3 linked regions of the Arabidopsis thaliana genome follow. The protein of the gene in region 1 interacts with the protein of each later gene in a pairwise test. Each region holds a gene or a part of one and is shown in the gene's direction. Other genes may lie near its edges.

Region 1 (5,956 bases):
CTAAAACTTTTATATGTTGTTTCTTATAACTTACTTACACAATTTTGTAACAATTTTCCAAGTATAACCAGAATTGTTTTGGTAATAAAACCTTCCTCAGAATATGTTCTTGGAAACGAGATTTTAATTTGATGGGCATCATCATTCTTCGACACTACAACCATTTTAAAATTTTGTTTTACTCGTTGAAAGTATTTTCTTTTCAATAATGGTGCATTCTAGGTTTGATTAAATTGTGAAGTCCAAACCCAAGCCCAATAAGGGAAGTTTGAGGCCTAACCCAACTCCTAATATAAGTTTCTCGTGTGTGTAATTCTATGATATTACCTTTTTACGATAATTTAATTAGTCATTTTAAAAATCTTTTAATGAACTAATGACGCGTCGAAGCCGCGATTAAAAGCTGCAAAAGTACATGCATGAAGTCAATGTATAACGCTTTCTATGGTATTGACCTTGGCAAGTTTAAATTTTTTAGGCTCATATTTCGGACCATTTAAGGAAAGCAATATCTAGAAATGGAATGTAATTACAAATGTTCTTAAACACGACACCAGTCATTTAGGAAAGAAACACGAGACTTTTTCTCTTTGGTTTTGACTGATTTTTGAGGTCCTTAAAATTAATACCGAAACCACTTCAGAGGTTAAGATGTCACTTCATCATTAATTGTCCTACACACCAAATTTTCTATTGATATAAAATTTTTGCATGTGAAGAAAAAGCCCAAAAATTTACTCGGATTTTAAAGCAGATTCCTTCGATCTAAAGAAAGAGAGAAAATGGAGAATATGTTAGGTCTTCTAAGACTTCATGTGATTAGAGGTGTTAATCTTGCCATCAGAGATTCTCAAAGCAGTGATCCTTATGTCATTGTCCGTATGGGAAAACAGGTAACCCCAATTTTTCATCTTTTCTTTTCCAATTTAGGCTTTACATTTTCTGAGTTCTTCTGTTCTTGTCAAACAAAATTTTCTTCTTTTCTTTTGATCGAGTTTGTCAAGTAATTGGTTAATTGCTTCTTGAGCTTTCTTTTGTGAATGGATCTTTGGTAATGATTAATGAATTTTGTTATGCTACTTCTGATGTAGTTATTGAATGAGAGAAGTATAATATGTCTTTTTATAGATTTAGATGATCTTCACACAAAAAAAAAAACTTTTTTTTTGACTTAATTGGTCATTTGAATTTCGTAGGCAAATGCTGTGTTATTAACATATCCATTATAGTCACATACTGTCAAAGTTAAATTACCGGCTAATGAGAAATTCCTAGGAATTGATTTCTACAAAAAAAAAAGTAGCTAAAAATGAAAAGCATTTTCAACAAGTTTTTGATTTGTTCGTGCATTTCTTATTTGTGTATAATCTATTTATCTTATATGGTTATGTTATGACTCTTTCTGGACGCAGAAGCTACGAACCCGTGTGATGAAAAAGAATTTGAATACAGAATGGAACGAAGACTTGACACTTTCTGTTACTGATCCAACTCTTCCTGTCAAGATCGTAAGTGATTTCGACATTACAACCAAATCAAACACGATACATTAGATTAGACCACAATATGGATTCTTTATATTTGGAAGTTTGAAACAAGACTTAACAAGAAAAATTGGTGTTTTTTTTTTGTTATAAACAGATGGTGTACGATAGGGACAGGTTCTCAAGGGATGATAAGATGGGAGATGCGATTTTTCACATTGATCCGTTCCTTGAAGCCATCAGAATCCAAAACCAACTAGGAGGACTACCTGAGGGGACTGTAATAATGAAGATACAGGCAAGCAGACAAAACTGCTTGTCAGAAGAGAGCAAGATTGTATGGCACAAAGGAAAGATTGTCCAGAACATGTTCCTTAAGCTTCAGAATGTTGAACGAGGGGAGATAGAGCTGCAGCTTGAGTGGATCGATGTCTCCGGCGCCTTGACTGATGATGCGGAGGATGTTGCTTTCTAGATCGACTCTATACTACAAGAAATTCCTGTGATGATACGGCGAAAACAATAACACAAACTGATGTAGTGATTTACTCAATTAATAATCTTAATGCACTAGCGATCTTATCGATGAAGCAATTAAGAGTAGAACCACAAGGACTAATTCACATTAAGAATGCACATAATTACTTAACTTAAGAACTAAATGTTGCATTGATTCAATAAACCGGTTGCAATAATTTATTTAAATATATATTTTAGTTTTAAAAATTAGTTATATAACAATTTATACAGAGTGATGAGGTCGTATATATTAAATATTATAAAAGTTACAATGCTCAGTCAAAATAAACTAAGAATTACATGGGTCTATAAAATAAAATCAAATATTACAATGATTCGTCGAATAACGATTACAACTTTATTTAAATAAATAAATATTTCTAAATTATATAAAAAGTTATACCGAAATACGCAACAGTAGATAATTAAAAGTTTATTAAATAAAAAAAATTACAACGGCTCATAAAACAAAATCAAAAGTTGCAATGATTCGTCCATATAGATCAAATGTTATAACAGTTCAATTAATCTGTTGCAATTTTATTTAAACATATTTTAGTAATCAAAAATAACCAGAAAATGAAAATATATAACTTTAGTTGAACATACATAACTTTTTAACAAAACATTATTATAACTTTTTAACTTTAGTTTCTTTTTTTTGTAATATTTTGAAGAAATGTTGCAATAGAAAGACAACCATGTAGAAGTACAAAACAGATTTATTGACATTGTTATTATTATACGTAATTAAAAAGAACGAAGAGTCTGGCTGCTAAGTGCAGTGAACCATTTCTCTTGTCTAAACAATAGCAAAACAAACTAATTTTTAGCAAATTCAGCATGAATTAAACGTGGATATAAAATATGGCAGTCACTGCACTCTCTATATAAAACCTCCAATAATTTGTGAAGGCTTCACACATGCCATATATATAAATTTTATAAAATTTGTGAGATAATTTTCTATTATCTTTGCTCCATGGGCGAATCACCCAAAGGGTTGAGAAAAGGTACATGGACTACTGAAGAAGATATTCTCTTGAGGCAATGCATTGATAAGTATGGAGAAGGCAAATGGCATCGAGTTCCTTTAAGAACTGGTATTTGTTTCATGCTTTTTAAGGTGGTTCATGAAAATACTATTTATATCGATTGGTGTGCATATATTCTTCATGATAAAGATAAAGGAGGTACAAAAGAAATCTAAGTAGGTATAGTAAATTCGACTTTTGGTTTTATAGGTCTCAATCGGTGCCGAAAGAGTTGTAGACTTAGATGGTTGAATTATTTGAAGCCAAGTATTAAGAGAGGAAAACTCTGCTCCGATGAAGTTGATCTTGTTCTTCGCCTTCATAAACTTCTAGGAAATAGGTATTGTTTTCTCGATAGTCAATACTATTTCTTTAGGGATCGCGGTTCAATACTAGAAACTCTCATGTATATTGTTTCACAATGTTTAGGTGGTCCTTGATCGCTGGTAGATTGCCTGGTCGGACTGCTAATGATGTCAAGAATTACTGGAACACTCATTTGAGTAAGAAGCACGATGAACGATGCTGTAAGACGAAGATGATAAACAAAAACATTACTTCTCATCCTACTTCATCGGCCCAAAAAATCGATGTTTTAAAGCCTCGGCCTCGATCCTTCTCCGATAAAAATAGTTGCAACGATGTCAATATCTTGCCAAAAGTTGACGTTGTTCCTTTACATCTTGGACTCAACAACAATTATGTTTGTGAAAGTAGTATTACATGTAACAAAGATGAGCAAAAAGATAAGCTTATTAATATTAATCTATTGGATGGAGATAATATGTGGTGGGAAAGTTTACTGGAGGCAGATGTGTTGGGTCCAGAAGCTACGGAAACAGCAAAGGGTGTGACCTTACCGCTTGACTTTGAGCAAATTTGGGCTCGGTTTGATGAAGAGACTTTAGAACTGAATTAGTGTTGCTCCCCATTTTTGTTTGCACGTGTGTATTTATGTTTCTGTGGATGTTTTTTATATTGCAATTTTTAAAAATTGTATTATTAAATTCATATCAAAGGTGGCAGCATTTGTTACAATATAACTTAACACGAATTCAAACCCGAGAAGATAACGTCTAATGGTTCATTAGGAGATAATATGAGAGTCGTTTCTACTTATATTGTGTTGTATGAGGTGATGCGATGAGAGTGAAGAAAGGGATGTTTCTACTTATGTTTTTTTTTGCTTTTTATTTACAAATTTATGGTCTTTTCTAAACCAACGTCAGAAAGTTCAATTCTCCAAAAAAACTACATGAATCGTAATTTTTTTTTATCTACAATACTACGTTTTAAATTGACCTAGATAATTAGGATCAGAGTAAGCTGCAATAAACTAAAAGAGAAAAAAGTAAGAAAAAAAAACTAAAAAAAGAAAGAAAGAAAAACAATTCTTCTTCTTCTCCGATGGAGACACACGTTCCTCCAACTCGAACAAATGGATGCATGCCTCAAAGTGGGTCCATTCAATCCGATCTGAAATTAAGCAGACTCAAAATTGGTCCGATTGATCTAAACCGAAATCAATTTTAATTATGATGAGATTTTGTCGAAATTAATAATTAGAAGGGTCATTGATTATTTTAAGGAGACATGTGAGCTATCTCGCACATTAAAATCAAGAAAGAACTTTGAGTGATATCATATGGATCAATATATTTATTATATCAATTGGTTTTGACTTTTCCTCTTAAAAGAAAACAACAACAGTTTTCTAACGCAAATAATGTTGATGTCCTTTGGATCCATGTCGGTTGCATAGTATACACTAAACATGCATTGGAAAAAAACAAAAATTCTTAAAACTTACCATTATCGTTGTTTTTATTAGCTTTGAATGATAAACTACTATCAAAACGATATATTTTTTTTGTATATTTTCGATATTTATCATTCACAATTTTTTTTATCAAAATCATTATAATATTTTTTATTTTTAGTTTTATTGTACAACTTTTTCGTATAACTATTTTTTACAGTTTTACATTGTTTCAAAATAACTTACAGTTTCAACTAATTTATGTTATCAATCAGATCTATTATTATTATATTCTATTATATATCAATTTAACACATGGGTTTTGGCAAACATAACCACCGGAGGATCGGAAAGGAACTTGTGATTGAATAGTGTTTTCTTATTAAAGGTTACACACATACAAGTGTGTAAGTCAGATTTTTCTAAAAGATTCATAAATTTAGCATTCTTTGAGAAAAAACTTAAACGTGAAACTTCCAAGTAAATTATTCTTCAGAAAATCTATAAAACTTTGTGTCAGTAAAGTGAAGTTTATTCCTTGAAATTCTCCCAAATCCATACTAGTCTCGTTCATCTGGTATTAATTACTATGACGTCGGTTGAAAAGAAAATATAAAATTCTAAAAATGTATGATAAATATCTATCACTTCAAAAGGAAATTTTCCTTACAGTGTATGATTATTTTTGTTCTGGAAAATCTTGAAAGAAATGACTTCACACCTTATAGCTTTTATGAAATTATGTCTCATGTGGAAAATTGTTTGTGGACGATGAGCATACACGTTGGTTTCACTTGAAAAGTTAAAAAAATTCTTACTATTTCCTTCAAAAATATTCTACAAAATATCAGCTAATCATCACCAGTGCTATCCTATATCATAAAATTACATAATTGGTGTGTTTTGCGCTAACAAAAAAGAATTAATATTATTTTAGTTTTTGTTAAAGGATATTCTGTCTTAGTTTTTATGTTATATCATACTTGTTTCACCAAAATCAAATTATATATTTTAATCATAATCTAGAATATATTATTTTAGAGGTATCTGGAATAAATCAAATTAGTTTTTATGTTATATCATACCTGCTACACACTATGACTTGTTGAATATTTTGTGATCAGGTCTTGGGTTACCTTTTTAGATATTGTAGAAATCTT
Region 2 (7,127 bases), on another chromosome or scaffold:
TTGGGAAGTAATGTGGTGAATGGGTAATTTGCTATGGTTGGCTGTGCGGCACTTATCACGCTCAACAATGTGCTTTTTCCTGCATTTGGAGCACCCACAATACCTACGTCTGCGACCAGTTTCAGTTCTAAGTCCAGCCACCTATAGGCATATGTAAAGTTATAATTGGGAATCAGAGCTTCCCAGAAAAAAAAAAATATATATATGAACCACATATTACATTTCCTAAAGGCAAACACAGTCTCATAATTCTCCAACAGCATGATAGTGTTGGACTCTAAGAGTACCCAATCCAGTCTATAGATAACCCAGAAACTCATATCCGTTCATAATACTCTAACATACCTCTATCAACATGAGCTTTTCTACTAGCAGAGTCAGCAATGGAAGACTTTCAAAAGTCCTGTACCTGTATCTATATATAAATTCTTGTATAGTGAGCATTACTTACAAGATGAGATTTCCTCTGGAGATTAACCGAGATACTAAACCTAACCCAGATGATCGAATGAAGGAAGCAGGGCTCACATGTAAACATCAAGCTTTACCAAACAAAAGAAATACAAATCAACTGTTCCTAAACCAAAATGAAATTTTTACATCTTTGAACAATCTAGCTTCTGTGATTAGTTTATCCTATCAAAGCTTGTAACCATCATCAACACACTAAACTAAAACCAGCTCAAAAATGAAGAAAAATACACACTTACATTTCAGGACCTTCTTCGCCATTCTCAGCAATCCTAGGAACTTTATTCATCCCCGACTTAAACGAAGCATTCCCTCGTCCACCTCTCCCTCCAGGCAACAACAACGCCCTCTGTCCCGGATGCAACAACTCCAAAAGCACCTCCTTCTCCTCCCCTTCCTCACCCTCCACCTCACTCCCAACCTCTCTAGCCTGTCTAACCACCGTCCCAGGAGCCACTTTCACCACGACATTATCACCTTTAGCTCCACTCTGCATCTTCCCTCTCCCATGTTCCCCACGTCCCGCCCTGAAATGCACACTCTTGCGAAATGGCAACAACGAATTCATAGACCCATCAACCTCTACATACACATTCCCTCCTCTCCCTCCATCTCCACCTGAAGGTCCTCCAAAAGGAACAAACTTTTCTCTCCTAAACGCCACCACACCATTCCCTCCATCTCCGGCTCTAACATATATCTTCGCTCTATCGAAACACCTCATCACAGCCGGAACTCCTTTCTCCTTCACCCCAATTTCATCCTCTTCCTCTTCACCGGAGAAACATAACACTTCTCCATCCTTCAATTCAGACCCTTCACTATCATCTTTCTCCGCATCAGTTTCATCACCATACTCAAACACTTCGTCTTCCCAATCTTCATCATCTTCATCAATTGATCTTGAACTCCCTTCAAACACATCTAATCTTCTGTAATTTCCCCAAATATCATCATCATCATAACTCTTCACCTCCTTTTCTTTCTCTTCTTCCTCAATTTCCCTCAAAGTTTCAATCTTTTCCTCAACCCTCGCGACATTGGACTCAGATAGCTTCACTTCTTCAGAAACTTTTAAATAAGATGAAGACAAAAGAGAGACATCATAGTAATCTTCCCTAGGAGGAAGACGTGTATAAGTAGTGGCTTCGCCGCCGGCATCAGAAACTGGCTGGAGTTTATCACCGCCTCGAGATTTAAGCTCGACTTCGCGTTGAAGCTTCGTTTTTCTAGGGCTTCGGGTTCTTCCCGAGACTTTGTCAGGTTTAGCGAAAATCTTCCTCGTCCTACTGGGTCGGGCTAGAGCTTGAGGAGTGAAGAAACAGTTAATGGATATGGAAGCCATTTGTTTCTCTGATAAATCTTAACGGGACTTTATGTGATATAAACAACATTTTGTACTAAATATTGATTTTTCAAAGTAAAGGGGGTTACAATCAAAAGTAGTATAAAATTGAGGACTTATATAGCAAACAAGGAGAAACTTTTATTACCTTTGAAGTTTGAAGCTTGGATCTCGCAGATTGAGCTCCAGAGAGGGAGAGAGAGAGAAAGGGGGCGCTTTAGGGTTTCTGCAGTTCCTGGTTCAGTCTCACCATTCTATTTAAGGGTTTTAATCTCTCTGCTTCATTTGGTGACTAACATTTATCGTCGAGGGTTGTGACGATCTCCGAGAATGTATAGCGGATCTAGCGATGGTGAGAGTCATGATACATCGACGCAGAGGAAGATCCCACCGGCGTCTTCGATGCTTTGGGTTAGAAATCTACGACGATATATTGGTTCCGGTGCCGGATTAGGATCCGAAGCTCTAATGGGTAATGTTCCTTTTGCCGGTTGTTGCGTTTTGGTTGTTGGGACAGTCTGTAGTTTTTTTATCTTTTAGCTTGTGATGATGTCATAAATTCTGTAAAGTTTGAATCTTTGATCACATTTTAGAGCTCGTTGTGTTTTCAATATGAGTAAAGTTCCTGAATTTACATGTCTATGTATTGAAAGACTATGTTTAACTGTGATAGAGTCTTTGGTTTTGCTTAGTTTGATAAGGGTTTGTGTTCATTGTTTTGTAGAGCTTGAGACGAAGAGAATCTTGCTCGAGATTTTTAAAGAGAAGCAACAGAAAAGCCAAGAAGCAGGCACAATACCGAGTTTCTACAAGAAGGCATGTCCCTTACTCTGTATAAAATGATTGCCTTTGCATTTCAAGGCACTACTCGGTTAAAATATTGCATTGTGTTATACACTTCATAGAAGTTGTTTTTCCTTTTAAGTATTCGTGTTAGGCAATAAAATTTTGTTCCTTTACTCTTGGTTCAGAAACCAGAAGAAGGATCTATTAGTCAAAGGGTCCAGAAGCTTGCAAAGTACCGTTTCTTGAAGGTATTTCGCCTGCTCTTAATTATTCAGAAGAAGTTTAATGTTTTTGCTCACTTCGATATGTTGATTAATTCCCACAGAAACAATCGGATCTTTTGTTAAACGCTGATGATTTGGCTGCTATGTGGGTTTGTTTGAGAGAAAATTGTGTGATTGATGATGCCACTGGTGCTGAAAAGGTACGTGCATCTTTTATAGGATTTTTCTCTGGAGCTGAAACTATGTTAACAATGATGCTGATATTGCGCTGTCTTTTTCATGTAGATGAACTATGAAGACTTCTGTCACATTGCCTCTGTATGCACTGAACAAATCGGTCCCAAATGTCGCCGGTTTTTTAGCCCATCCAATTTCATGAAATTTGAGAAGGATGAGGCTGGGAGGATTGCCATTTTACCGTTTTATCTTTATGTGATGCGCACGGTGAGTATCCTTATGTTTTTATAATGTCATGTCTTTGGGTATCATTTTTGTTCATTGGCTGAATATCATCTGTCGCCATAAGCTAAATATTCTTTGGTACTGTGTTTGAGTGACACCAGCTTTGCTAGTTTTGGATGTTTGTTTTTCAAGTTTTTTTAATTTGGCGTGTCTTTTACTTAAACAACTATAGTTAATACTTGTTTTGATTAATCATATGTTCAACACTATTCAGGTGTCGCTTACACAAGCTAGGATTGATATGAGTGAGCTTGACGAAGACTCTGATGGTTTCCTTCATTCTGATGTAAGTACTCAAGTGGCTCTAAAGCTTTAACTTTAGAATTGGCTCAAGATTCTTTAGGTAGTCGTCCTACCTGCAAATGTCAAATGGTGTTGACTTTTATGTCAAGTTCCTTACAGTTAGTCTACTTGCTGTTGTTATTATAGGAAATGGAGTCCTATATTGGTGGTCTAATCCCTAATCTGGCACAACTGAGAGACATGCCTCCGGCCTTTAATCAAATGTATTGCCGCATAGCTTCACAAAAGTTTTTCTTCTTCTGTGATCCCCATAGGCGAGGTAAGTGAAAGAAAATATTATTATTATTAGGCAATTAGAAATTTCTTTGACCCAGTATTCAATCGCTCGTAAATGTGATATTTTTTGCGTACAGGAAGAGCCTGCATTAAAAAGATACTGCTCAGTAACTGTCTGCAGGAACTAATGGAATTGCATCAGGTAAGTTTAGTTGAAGGATGTATGACATACAGCTTCGTCACCGTATAACTTTCCACTTTCATAAGCTACTTGCTTGTGTTTTCTGATTGTTCCTTGGTTACTCAACGTTAGGAAAGCGAGGAGGAAGTCACAGACACTGAACAGGCAGAAAATTGGTTCTCTTTGACTTCAGCCCAACGCATATGTGGTGGGTGTGCTATTTTGTCTTAATAGCTGCAGAGAACTGGAAACAACTCTCGTTATGTCATATTAAGAACTAAAATGGAGATTGATCTAGAGTTTCTCTTTCTTCTGTAGATATGTTCCTCGCACTTGATAAAGATATGAGTGGATCGCTGTGCAAACAAGAACTTAAAGAATATGCTGATGGGACCCTAACTGAGATTTTCATTGAAAGAGGTAAATTTAAGCCCTTTTGGTGATTGTAGGCTCGTGGTACTGATCGAGACACGCTTAGTATACTAATTCCCCTTTGTTTTTTTAGTGTTCGATGAGCATGTCCGCCGTGGTAAAATCGTGGCAGGCAATTCCCGGGAAATGGACTTTGACAGTTTCCTCGATTTTGTTCTTGCTTTGGAGAACAAAGATACTCCAGAGGGTTTGACGTATTTATTCCGTTGCCTTGATCTCCAAGGGAGAGGCTTTCTCACTACTGCTGATATTCACTCTCTTTTCAGGTAATGAATCTCTATGAAGCGACTGAATCTGTTTGGTTTCTTACTTTTTAGTAAATTTTGTTTGAAACATGGAAGTAAAGAAGGGGAGCATCAAAGAGTTGTGATGTTATCTGATACAATCTTCCTAAATAAACACTCTGCATTTCCTGCTTGCGGAAGCTGAGCTTTGTTCCGCGAGTCTCATATCTGCAAAGACACTAGTGCATATCAAACACACCATTGATGTGTGATAATGCCATTGTCTCTCTTCTGAATTCATCTGTTTAACTTGCAGAGATGTTCACCAGAAATGGATAGAAGGTGGGAACTATGAACTGTGCATAGAAGATGTTCGAGACGAGATCTGGGACATGGTGAAACCGTCTGACCCATTAAAGATCACTCTGGGTGATCTCTTGGGATGTAAACAAGGTGGAACCGTTGCGAGCATGCTTATAGATGTGCGTGGCTTCTGGGCTCATGACAACCGTGAGAACCTTCTTCAAGAAGAAGAAGAACCACCTGAGGAAGAGTCTCAGTGATAATGTTATTTTCTATGTCTACCTAAAAAAAATGCTAAATCATTGAGATCAAAAGTCTCGCACTAGTAAACAGTCTCATCTCATGTGTGTGTATCTTTGTAAGCTTATTAGTTGGTGACGTTTAATGAAATGGCTGTTTATATCGTCACTTGTCTTATTCTACTTGGGATCTGATTTGATTTTTGACATTTCTGAATTCACTTCTATTATACATTACTCCACAACACACATGAATTCAGTCATGTCTCGAGTACTACAAAATGGAAGTCATAAAAGTTATCGTGTTGTCTCTGGTCTGTGTTTAGACATGGAAAGGCTTTCTGGGTGTAGCAGCTCTGTTCTCTAGAGATTGTAATCTTTGCTTCAGATGAAACACTTCAACCTGCGTTCATCTCAAGTTTTTAGAACAATACTACATTTTGAAAATGCAAATTTGAATAGAGTCTATTGATGATTATGATGACACCTGCAACTGGAACGCTCTTGCTCTTTCTCCTGCAAGAACTCCTCTTGTTGAATGCAACTCCTACAAAACCCATAACACAAAACGGTATTAAACTTTAATCCTCAGTCTTTTGAAAACGCTTGTATATCTACTAGGATTATTTTACCTTTTGTGTATCGTCTAGGACAGCTTTGAGGAACGCTACATCATGCTCAAGCCTGACATTGTCGGAGTGAACCATGTTTGACAAACTATTAGCTTCCTCTTGAGCGAGCTCTAACCCGGTCAGCTTCTCCTTAAGCAATTCAACATCTCTCATGGCGTCAGATAACTTTTTATCAGTCTCTTGTTTGCTCCTCAACGCAACCGACACATTCCTCTCAGCCGCCTCTCTTCCCGCCAATGCTGCTTCTAACTGCCCTTCCAGAATCCCATTTCTTCTTATAAGAGCCGTCATTTTCGCTTCATGGAATTGGTACACGCTCGATGAGGACGCTGATCCTGCAAAGTTGATATTATCCATTTCTTGGAATATCAAGGCGCCATCAACGTTTTCTAAAGGATATGTTTCAGAGCATTGCTTCTGGAGACTTAAGATTTCACGGTCAGAAACCATAGAAAGTGTTTTCTCTGCTGTAATCTTTGCTCCTCCAGTATTGTCATCTGTGGTCTGAAACCAAGACAAGACGTTTTAAAAGCAAATTCAAGAACGTCAATAAATGCAGGTGAATCATGAACTAACTATATATACCGGAGGAGGCACGGAAATGTCTTCTTCTGAACACTTTGCGGGTTCAATCACCGCTCTGTATTCCTCTTCGGTGCTAAACTGTTTACGCAAAGAGACATTTCCAGAAGGTGGGTTACGATGATCACCGAAAGCAATCTCTGATAAAGACCTTCTACCAGAGCCACCATGCTCTTCAATGGCTGAAGCAAGTTTCTGTCTGGCAACTGAATCAATCAGCCTCTGTGAAGAGGCTTTAACCGATTCATCAGAGGTTAAAACTGCCGAGGAAGAAGATCTTTTTCCAAACAGTAACCGGCCGGGGTTTTTCTTGGAAGTTGTTTGCGGATGTGTTGGTGATTCACTCTTGTTCTTGTCAATGGTAAAAGCATCGACCTTTTCATAGTTCAGACATAGCATCAAAACACATACATAAATTGAGATCTTGAACAATACAGCGGAATGATAAGGCTCGAACCTGATTTGAAGGATCTTTTTTCGTTCCTCCAAAAGCTACAAGGAAATCTTTATCCTTGTGTTGCAGAAGAACTAGACTAAATCCCTATTTCAAACATACCACAAGACAATAACTGAGCTTTTAACAGATGGGGTTGAAAGAATATACAAGTTAGTTACATATAAGAATGTGATTTTTCTATTTATCCACCTTGTTGGATGTGACAGAAGATTGAGAGGAGATGCTTGCTACAGACCACTCGACCTTAAGGATATCGAAGACCAATGTTTC
Region 3 (7,929 bases), on another chromosome or scaffold:
GTTCAATACATGGCGATTTTAGCCATGGATCCCCAACGGGATCATGGGATTACGGTCCAACTGACCGGTTTGGACCGGGTCTTAATATATTGAACAAAATACAAGAAATCTCTCATTCACACGAATGATTACATTTCAGAAAAAGAAAGAAAAAATAACTCAAAAAACTTCACACCAATTTGCATCACACTATATTACCCATTATTTTTCTACAATTATGTGGTCCACTTTTCAAATAGTTCACTCTCATCATAAACCGGCCGGGGTCCTTCAAAGCTCATGCAGTTGTGCGTTGTAAAGATATATTGTATTCCAACAACTAATTCTTGCCAAAACACTTTTGGCTAATGTCATTTTCATTGAAAACAAAGCATTATAAATAGGAATGATTTGTCATTTCTGGAATGGAAGAACTTGGGTTTTAGTTAACATTTGTGCCTAACCAACCTCTCGTTTATGTACTAAAGCATTGTCCTTGTGATTGTGAATAACCAATCGCTCATTTCTGTGTTAGAACAGTATTGTTTATTTTCTGTTATTTGAATCATTTCCAATGAGAAATGAGTTACATAACACCTTTATTTATAAACACAAAGATGCACACAAGGAGAAGCAAAATCAATAAGAAGAAACCACTCCACGTGGCCCGTCGTCAGAGTTACATAATTGGTGAACGACTAAACTCAGAAGAAACAACATGTAATAAGAAACACAGAAGCAGAAGCAAAAGCCAAGCAACATTTATTTTGTCGACAAAAAAGCCAAGAAACATTCAATGTTGATTTTGTCTAAGTAACCAGGTGTACATACATTACCCTTAACCATACCCAAAATCGTATGTACTACGATATGTGTACGTAACAGTATCTATCTACATTTATATTTTATAAGACATTATTAAATGGGAAACTTATAGTGGCTAGTGGCTGCTACTTGGCTAGCAATTAACATCAATAATTTAATAACTCAAATGTGAAACATCTCATTCTTCTCCTTTATTACACCAAACCATTTCTCATTCTTTACTTACCGGTCAGGTCAACAATTCTACCATTCCCCATCTTTGGTTAAGTTTATCTTTTCATTTTAAAGAAAATATATATGAATGTTCATCCAATAATTCCAACTTCTTAAAATTGTTAATGAACATTTTAATCAATATATAATTTTAATATCAATTTTATAAATAATAGAAATGTGAAAAACGCAATTTCTTTGCTCCTTGTAGCAGTAACACAAGTCAAAGCAACATTTGTTTTCATTTGTTTGTCAGTTAGCTATTTTATCTACAATAATATGTTATGCTTTCTGAACAATAAATAAATATAGCATTATTAGATATATTCATTCTGTATTTTGATTTGTCCAATTAGTATATGACACGTCTACAAGATACATAGATCTTTCATTATTTCACTTTCTCATCCAACGTCTGGTGAACCAACCATTCAAAAATCAAAAGTCAACTTTTAATGCACTTGAGTTTTGGTCATGCATTCATATACATACATATATACATAGAAGTCATTACATGCATTATACTTTACTTATGTCAACATGTTGCAAAAGCACTAAGATGATATACGTATACATGCATATTGCAAAAATCAGTGGTCCCATACCATTTTAAGTCATCATGAGCGTATGAGAGTAAATTCTTCTCACATATTAATAACAACCCTTCAAAGTTATAAGATTTTTAGAGAGAGAGCTACCACGTTTTCGTATCTCCGGGAACGATGGATGAATCAAGTATTATTCCGGCAGAGAAAGTGGCCGGAGCTGAGAAAAAAGAGCTTCAAGGGCTGCTTAAGACGGCGGTTCAATCTGTGGACTGGACTTATAGTGTCTTCTGGCAATTTTGTCCTCAACAACGGTTAGTTTCTTATCTCTATAGTTCATTCATCTCTCACAATACAACCATAATATCTATATCCGTATATATTATGTAAACTATATGTTTAAATGAATTCGGCTAATTGTTGGCTTGTCGTAGTGTTACAATTCGATCTTGAAATAATTTTTTTTTTTTTTGAAGGTTTTACAAAATTTATTAAGATTTTTGAACTACTTATATGAAAGTATCATTGTTTAGGGTCTTGGTGTGGGGGAATGGATACTACAACGGTGCAATAAAGACGAGGAAGACAACTCAACCAGCGGAGGTGACGGCAGAAGAGGCGGCGTTAGAGAGGAGCCAACAGCTCAGGGAGCTTTATGAGACACTTTTAGCCGGAGAGTCAACGTCAGAAGCAAGAGCATGCACCGCATTGTCACCGGAGGATTTGACGGAGACAGAATGGTTTTATCTAATGTGCGTCTCTTTCTCTTTTCCTCCTCCATCTGGGTAAACAACTCTCTCCCTATACTCAAGTTTCTAAATTTGTTCTTTCTTTTTTTTCCTTCTCTAAGTGAAGACAAAAATAGTATTGTGTGTTAAATGCGAATATCGAAAATATTGTGTTGACATTAAAGAGAAACTGAGGAAGTTGAGTTACTAGAATAAGAAAGAAATGAGAGTTAATGAAACGTACACACACTACATTTTCATGAACATTATTGCGACCGTTGAGATTCTCATTGTTTGGTGATTGATTATCTAAAGTAGAAGCATGAATAGATATAACATAAATGCATAACAAAATGGGTTAGTTATGGGTATACTTCATGCTTTTCTCTATGTGGTAAAAAAAAATCAAATATAAATTTGGGAGGTAGTAATTTGTAGGATGCCAGGAAAAGCGTATGCAAGGAGGAAGCACGTATGGCTAAGTGGTGCAAATGAAGTTGACAGTAAAACTTTTTCTAGAGCTATTCTCGCTAAGGTAAATTCTTTTATTCATTCACCAACTATACTATGCATCTATTTTTACCTATTTATGTATACACTATACTATGTATCTATCTACTTGTAAACCTATTTATCTATACTTTTATACATTTTCACTGATTAACTTGAATAATTCTTCTTGTCGTTTTATGGGCCTTTTACGTCGGTTCCTCAATGACTTAGAGTGCTAAAATTCAGGTAAAATTTGTCTTTATTAGTTTGCTCTTTTTAGTAAGATTTGAGAATTGTATTCTGATGAAAATGTATTTTAAAAAAGCAGACAGTGGTTTGCATTCCAATGCTTGATGGTGTTGTGGAACTAGGCACAACGAAAAAGGTAACGTTGTATATACTCTCTCTTTTATTTACTTGTTAATGAAATATATAAACAAAATAACAAAGTGAATATAGCCTATCTTTCTTTAGGTTTAGTAATGTTAAATTAAGGAGATGCACTACAAAAAAAAGGTTGTTTTACATCATTTATTATAAATATTTGCATTAGTTAAAAGTGATGTAAAAGAATTTTGTATCACTTAAATAAGTGACTTAAATATTGTTGATGCAAATAATTTGCATCAGTTAATTAGTAACTGATGTAAATAATCAAAATAATTACATCGATTATTATAATTGATATCAATATTGTATCAGTTACTAAAAATGATGTAATGTTTACATCAATTTATTTAAGTGATGTTAGTATTTGTTTCGGTTTAAATAACTGATTTAATTAATATATATATAATTATTAATACAATGTTATTAATATTTCAAATAATTATTTTATTTATTTCTTTTTTTTTTTTAAATAACAGATCATTGTGGATAATTACTCGTTGGAATATCTACTAAAATTTTATCAAGATTTAATAAAATATTTTACATGAACAATAAATCTTTATATAAGATAAGCAAAAAAATAATCATAATTTGGTTTTGGTTTCTTCGTGTTTAAACACATCTTTCTTCTGTTCCATGCTTCTTCCTTCCATTAACTGTTGGTTCTTCTTGAAAAATACCATTTCTTCTTCTATGCCATCTCTCTTCCATTTACAGAATCAAAATCATACTTTGGTTATAACTTATATCTCTTGAATCCTCATCACACTTGAGTTTCTGCTGTACAAAATAAAAAAGAGAGTAATTGTTTGAAAATTTACAGAATTGTTTTGGTCGGAATAAGAATAACCATTTGTAAGTATTTTTAAAAGAAAGTGATAGAGTACCTTTACTTTGTGTTTCTCCAAACTGTGTAGGAAAACAAACAGTCCTAATGATCAATGGCAGATTTCTGAAAATAAAAGAAAAGAAAAAAACTGAGCAATGGTTAAGAAAAAGAGAAAGATAGAATGATAGAAAAATAAGAAAGTACTTGTCGTTGAAGATGAAGAATTGAATGAGAGTTATGAGATTTCAAAAACTAATTTGAAGATATTCTAAAAACGTTTTTGGATACAAAACTGTAAAAAAAGATCGTGAGCGTAAAAGCAGGATTTATAGTGAAGGAAACAAATATATTTAGTTAGCTGATTTTGAGGGAAAATATAGGAATTAATAATAAATTATTAACCCAATATGATTATTTATTTATGGTAATAACAATTTCTCGTCATCTACAATAAATTCAAGTTAGTTTTTTGTTTAAATTAAAATACAGAAAAACTTATTAGCATCACTTCTTATTGATGTATAATTTTATATCATTTTTATAAACTGATGTTAATAAAATTAAGTGAATACATCGGTTATTTAATTGGTGTAAATACAGATTTTTGTATCAATTTGTTAAAATGATGCAAACTAATACAAATTTCTATCAATTTGATTAAAGTGACGCTAAACATGTTAATTTATACATCACTTATTATAATTGATGTTTAATTATTTATTTTGTGTCATTTGCTTATAAGTAATTTAAACTTGTACCATTTATACTTGTGATACTATTTAATTGATGTAATCTATCCTTTTTTTTGTAGTGATGGATCAATATTTATTTGTTGTATTTGTGTGTGTAGGTAAGAGAAGATGTAGAGTTTGTTGAGCTCACAAAGAGTTTCTTCTATGACCACTGCAAGACGAACCCAAAGCCGGCTCTTTCTGAACACTCCACCTACGAAGTGCATGAAGAAGCCGAAGACGAAGAAGAAGTAGAAGAAGAGATGACAATGTCAGAGGAAATGAGGCTTGGCTCTCCTGATGATGAAGATGTTTCCAATCAAAATCTACACTCTGATCTTCATATTGAATCAACCCATACGTTAGGTATATATATCTACCCTAAGCTACTTATATTTTGCGGATTTATTTCGCTATATCTAAGAAATTATCATTTGTATATATATGTAGACACACATATGGACATGATGAATCTAATGGAGGAAGGTGGAAACTATTCTCAGACAGTAACAACACTTCTCATGTCACACCCCACAAGTCTTCTTTCAGATTCAGTTTCCACATCTTCTTACATCCAATCATCGTTTGCCACGTGGAGGGTTGAGAATGGCAAAGAGCATCAGCAAGTGAAAACGGCGCCGTCGTCACAATGGGTGCTCAAACAAATGATCTTCAGAGTTCCTTTCCTCCATGACAACACTAAAGATAAGAGGCTACCGCGGGAAGATCTGAGCCACGTAGTAGCAGAGCGACGCAGGAGGGAGAAGCTGAACGAGAAATTCATAACGTTGAGATCAATGGTTCCATTTGTGACCAAGATGGATAAAGTCTCAATCCTTGGAGACACCATTGCGTACGTAAATCATCTTCGAAAGAGGGTCCATGAGCTTGAGAATACTCATCATGAGCAACAGCATAAGCGGACGCGTACTTGTAAGAGAAAAACATCGGAGGAGGTGGAGGTTTCCATCATAGAGAATGATGTTTTGTTAGAGATGAGATGTGAGTACCGAGATGGTTTGTTGCTTGACATTCTTCAGGTTCTTCATGAGCTTGGTATAGAGACTACGGCAGTTCATACCTCGGTGAACGACCATGATTTCGAGGCGGAGATAAGGGCGAAAGTAAGAGGGAAGAAAGCAAGCATCGCTGAGGTCAAAAGAGCCATCCACCAAGTCATAATACATGATACTAATCTATAGACCCTAACTTTATTGATGCCAACTCTAGAGAAGGATAATTAAGCGTATTTTTGTTTTAGCCTCACATGTATTAAGACATCAGTTACATATATAGCCGGATGCAACATATAAATGAAAATGTACTAGATGATATTGTTCATTTGTCCAATGTAGTACTTGTGTATGATGCAATTGCAACATATAAATGCAAATGTACTAGATGACGATGTTGTTCGTTGTCCAATTTAGTACTTTTGTATGAATGCGATATTTGGATGCAGATTCAGTTGCATCTAAAACATCATATTTTTTTTGATGCATAAAGATGTAGAATTTCTATGTAGTTTTTTCTTACGTTCAAATTTGAGAAAATATTATTAAAAAATCTTTACAAAATTCATTAAAATAATTTATGCCAAAATTTGTATGTCATAATTTATGTAATTTTATCATTAACCTCAGATTAGAGAAATCAAAGAGTTTATATAAAACATTACATTCTACTTTGGTGCTCAATTTTAAGAATCAAGTTGTAGCACATCAAATTACGAAATCAAATTTTCCAGCAAAATTACGAAATTGCGTTTTAGTGTAAGAATCAACAATTTCTAGAGTAGACTAATAGTTATACTCATAATTAGTGTATGGAAGAACATTTATAAGTCAAGAATATTAAGCTATCAACCAACGAGATAAATGTATTGACAATGTTCATAGTTGCAGCATGAGCTATATATATTTTTCTCTTAGTTGATCATCATACATTATCAAAGCTGCAAGATGTGTAACTGCATTGGCTCCACTTCCTTTGTTGTCTTCTTTCTTGAATAGTGGTGTTCAATAGTGTAAGATATCTTTCTATAGTTTCAGCACTTAGCAGGCTGCTTAAAATTGGCCTGGCCCATTCGATTCTTTGATTTCGGTATGAACTGTTAGAATTCTGATTGAATTCAGATACCAAACCTTGCCAAAAAGAAAAAAAAAACGGTTTAAATGAATATTAACTTACTTTGACCAAAAATTGATGGCAGGGTAAAAAGACTCAAGATAATCCAAGGTCAAACCTATTTTAATTTCAGAACTTTATAATAATCGTTTTAAACTGAAATTGGTTTAATGTAAAAATTTAACCAACCTGAACCGAGAACTACAATCAAAGTAAACAGGAGATTATATTAAATCGAACCACTCTTACAACTCATAGGGGTGGGCGTACGGTTTTATGATTTGGTTTTGGTTTGGTTTTTTCGGTTTTATAAAAACTATAATCATAGAAAAACAGAAAAACAGTATGTAATTCAGTTTGGTTCCGGTTCGGTTTTATAAATATTAAAACCATATGTATCTCAGTTCGGTTTGGATTCGATTTGTTTTTGGTTTGGTCCCGGTTTTTTAGTTATTCCATACTTTTACAAAAAAAAATAAGTTCGATGATTTATAAATAAAAATAAACATAAAAGAAAATAATATATCAATCAATAAGTTAGATATAATAGATATCTTTTTAAAATTAAATTCTTGGTTTCTAAATTACTAAAAAAATTAATAATTCTAAGCCTACTAAATTTTTTTTTTTAAAATGAAACTATTATTAATCAAACTAATCACACTATAAAATGGACAAAAATATTTATCAATAATTATTTTTAATTTCTCTAAAAAACCTAAAAATAATCTGGTTTTACGGTTTTTAACCAAACCAAACCGAAATAATAATAAAAAAATACAACCAAATAGTTTTTTTTTTTAAAACTATAACCAAACCAAACTATTTTTTTCGATCGGGTACGGTCCGGGTTTTCGGTTTTCGGTTTTTTTGCCCACCCTTACTTACAAGTCAAATGATGACATTTTTTTACCGGTTAACATAAAAAACACACACACACACAAGTTATAGATGTTTGTTTACTCTTATTGTGAAAATTAGGCCCATTTACTAGTGCCCCACATAAAACTAAGATAAACAAATTTAGGGATTACAATTTTTCATTTTCTCTATAAGCTTGGCTTTCTACC

What was found. The genes of interacting proteins can lie anywhere in the genome.
Region 2: the proteins of MYB113 (region 1) and FASS interact in binary tests that used the Arabidopsis thaliana proteins (3 or more experiments, as listed by UniProt).
Region 3: the proteins of MYB113 (region 1) and TT8 interact in a two-hybrid assay, tested with the Arabidopsis thaliana proteins (one study listed by BioGRID).

Annotation. Positions count from the first base shown.
Region 1 is NC_003070.9:24,750,649-24,756,604, forward strand, and holds MYB113 (myb domain protein 113), read left to right. Parts: upstream 1-2,940; 5' UTR 2,941-2,985; coding exon 2,986-3,106; intron 3,107-3,247; coding exon 3,248-3,377; intron 3,378-3,466; coding exon 3,467-3,956; 3' UTR 3,957-4,113; downstream 4,114-5,956. Other genes in the region: AT1G66360 (Calcium-dependent lipid-binding (CaLB domain) family protein), read left to right, coding at 783-893, 1,413-1,508, 1,642-1,959. UniProt on the Arabidopsis thaliana protein: Transcription activator, when associated with BHLH002/EGL3/MYC146, BHLH012/MYC1, or BHLH042/TT8.
Region 2 is NC_003076.8:6,173,008-6,180,134, forward strand, and holds FASS (tonneau 2 (TON2)), read left to right. Parts: upstream 1-1,964; 5' UTR 1,965-2,146; coding exon 2,147-2,288; intron 2,289-2,540; coding exon 2,541-2,632; intron 2,633-2,787; coding exon 2,788-2,850; intron 2,851-2,927; coding exon 2,928-3,026; intron 3,027-3,111; coding exon 3,112-3,270; intron 3,271-3,502; coding exon 3,503-3,574; intron 3,575-3,717; coding exon 3,718-3,850; intron 3,851-3,944; coding exon 3,945-4,009; intron 4,010-4,120; coding exon 4,121-4,196; intron 4,197-4,306; coding exon 4,307-4,408; intron 4,409-4,493; coding exon 4,494-4,686; intron 4,687-4,696; exon of another isoform or gene 4,697-4,960; coding exon 4,961-5,207; 3' UTR 5,208-5,394; downstream 5,395-7,127. Other genes in the region: EMB269 (GTP1/OBG family protein), read right to left, coding at 1-141, 711-1,816; AT5G18590 (Galactose oxidase/kelch repeat superfamily protein), read right to left, coding at 5,509-5,589, 5,674-5,733, 5,819-6,322, 6,404-6,775, 6,858-6,941, 7,047-7,127. UniProt on the Arabidopsis thaliana protein: Probable regulatory subunit of type 2A protein phosphatase involved in the control of the dynamic organization of the cortical cytoskeleton.
Region 3 is NC_003075.7:6,180,328-6,188,256, forward strand, and holds TT8 (basic helix-loop-helix (bHLH) DNA-binding superfamily protein), read left to right. Parts: upstream 1-1,553; 5' UTR 1,554-1,739; coding exon 1,740-1,876; intron 1,877-2,095; coding exon 2,096-2,347; intron 2,348-2,728; coding exon 2,729-2,825; intron 2,826-3,013; coding exon 3,014-3,028; intron 3,029-3,110; coding exon 3,111-3,167; intron 3,168-4,851; coding exon 4,852-5,098; intron 5,099-5,182; coding exon 5,183-5,934; 3' UTR 5,935-6,196; downstream 6,197-7,929. UniProt on the Arabidopsis thaliana protein: Transcription activator, when associated with MYB75/PAP1 or MYB90/PAP2. Involved in the control of flavonoid pigmentation. Plays a key role in regulating leucoanthocyanidin reductase (BANYULS) and dihydroflavonol-4-reductase (DFR).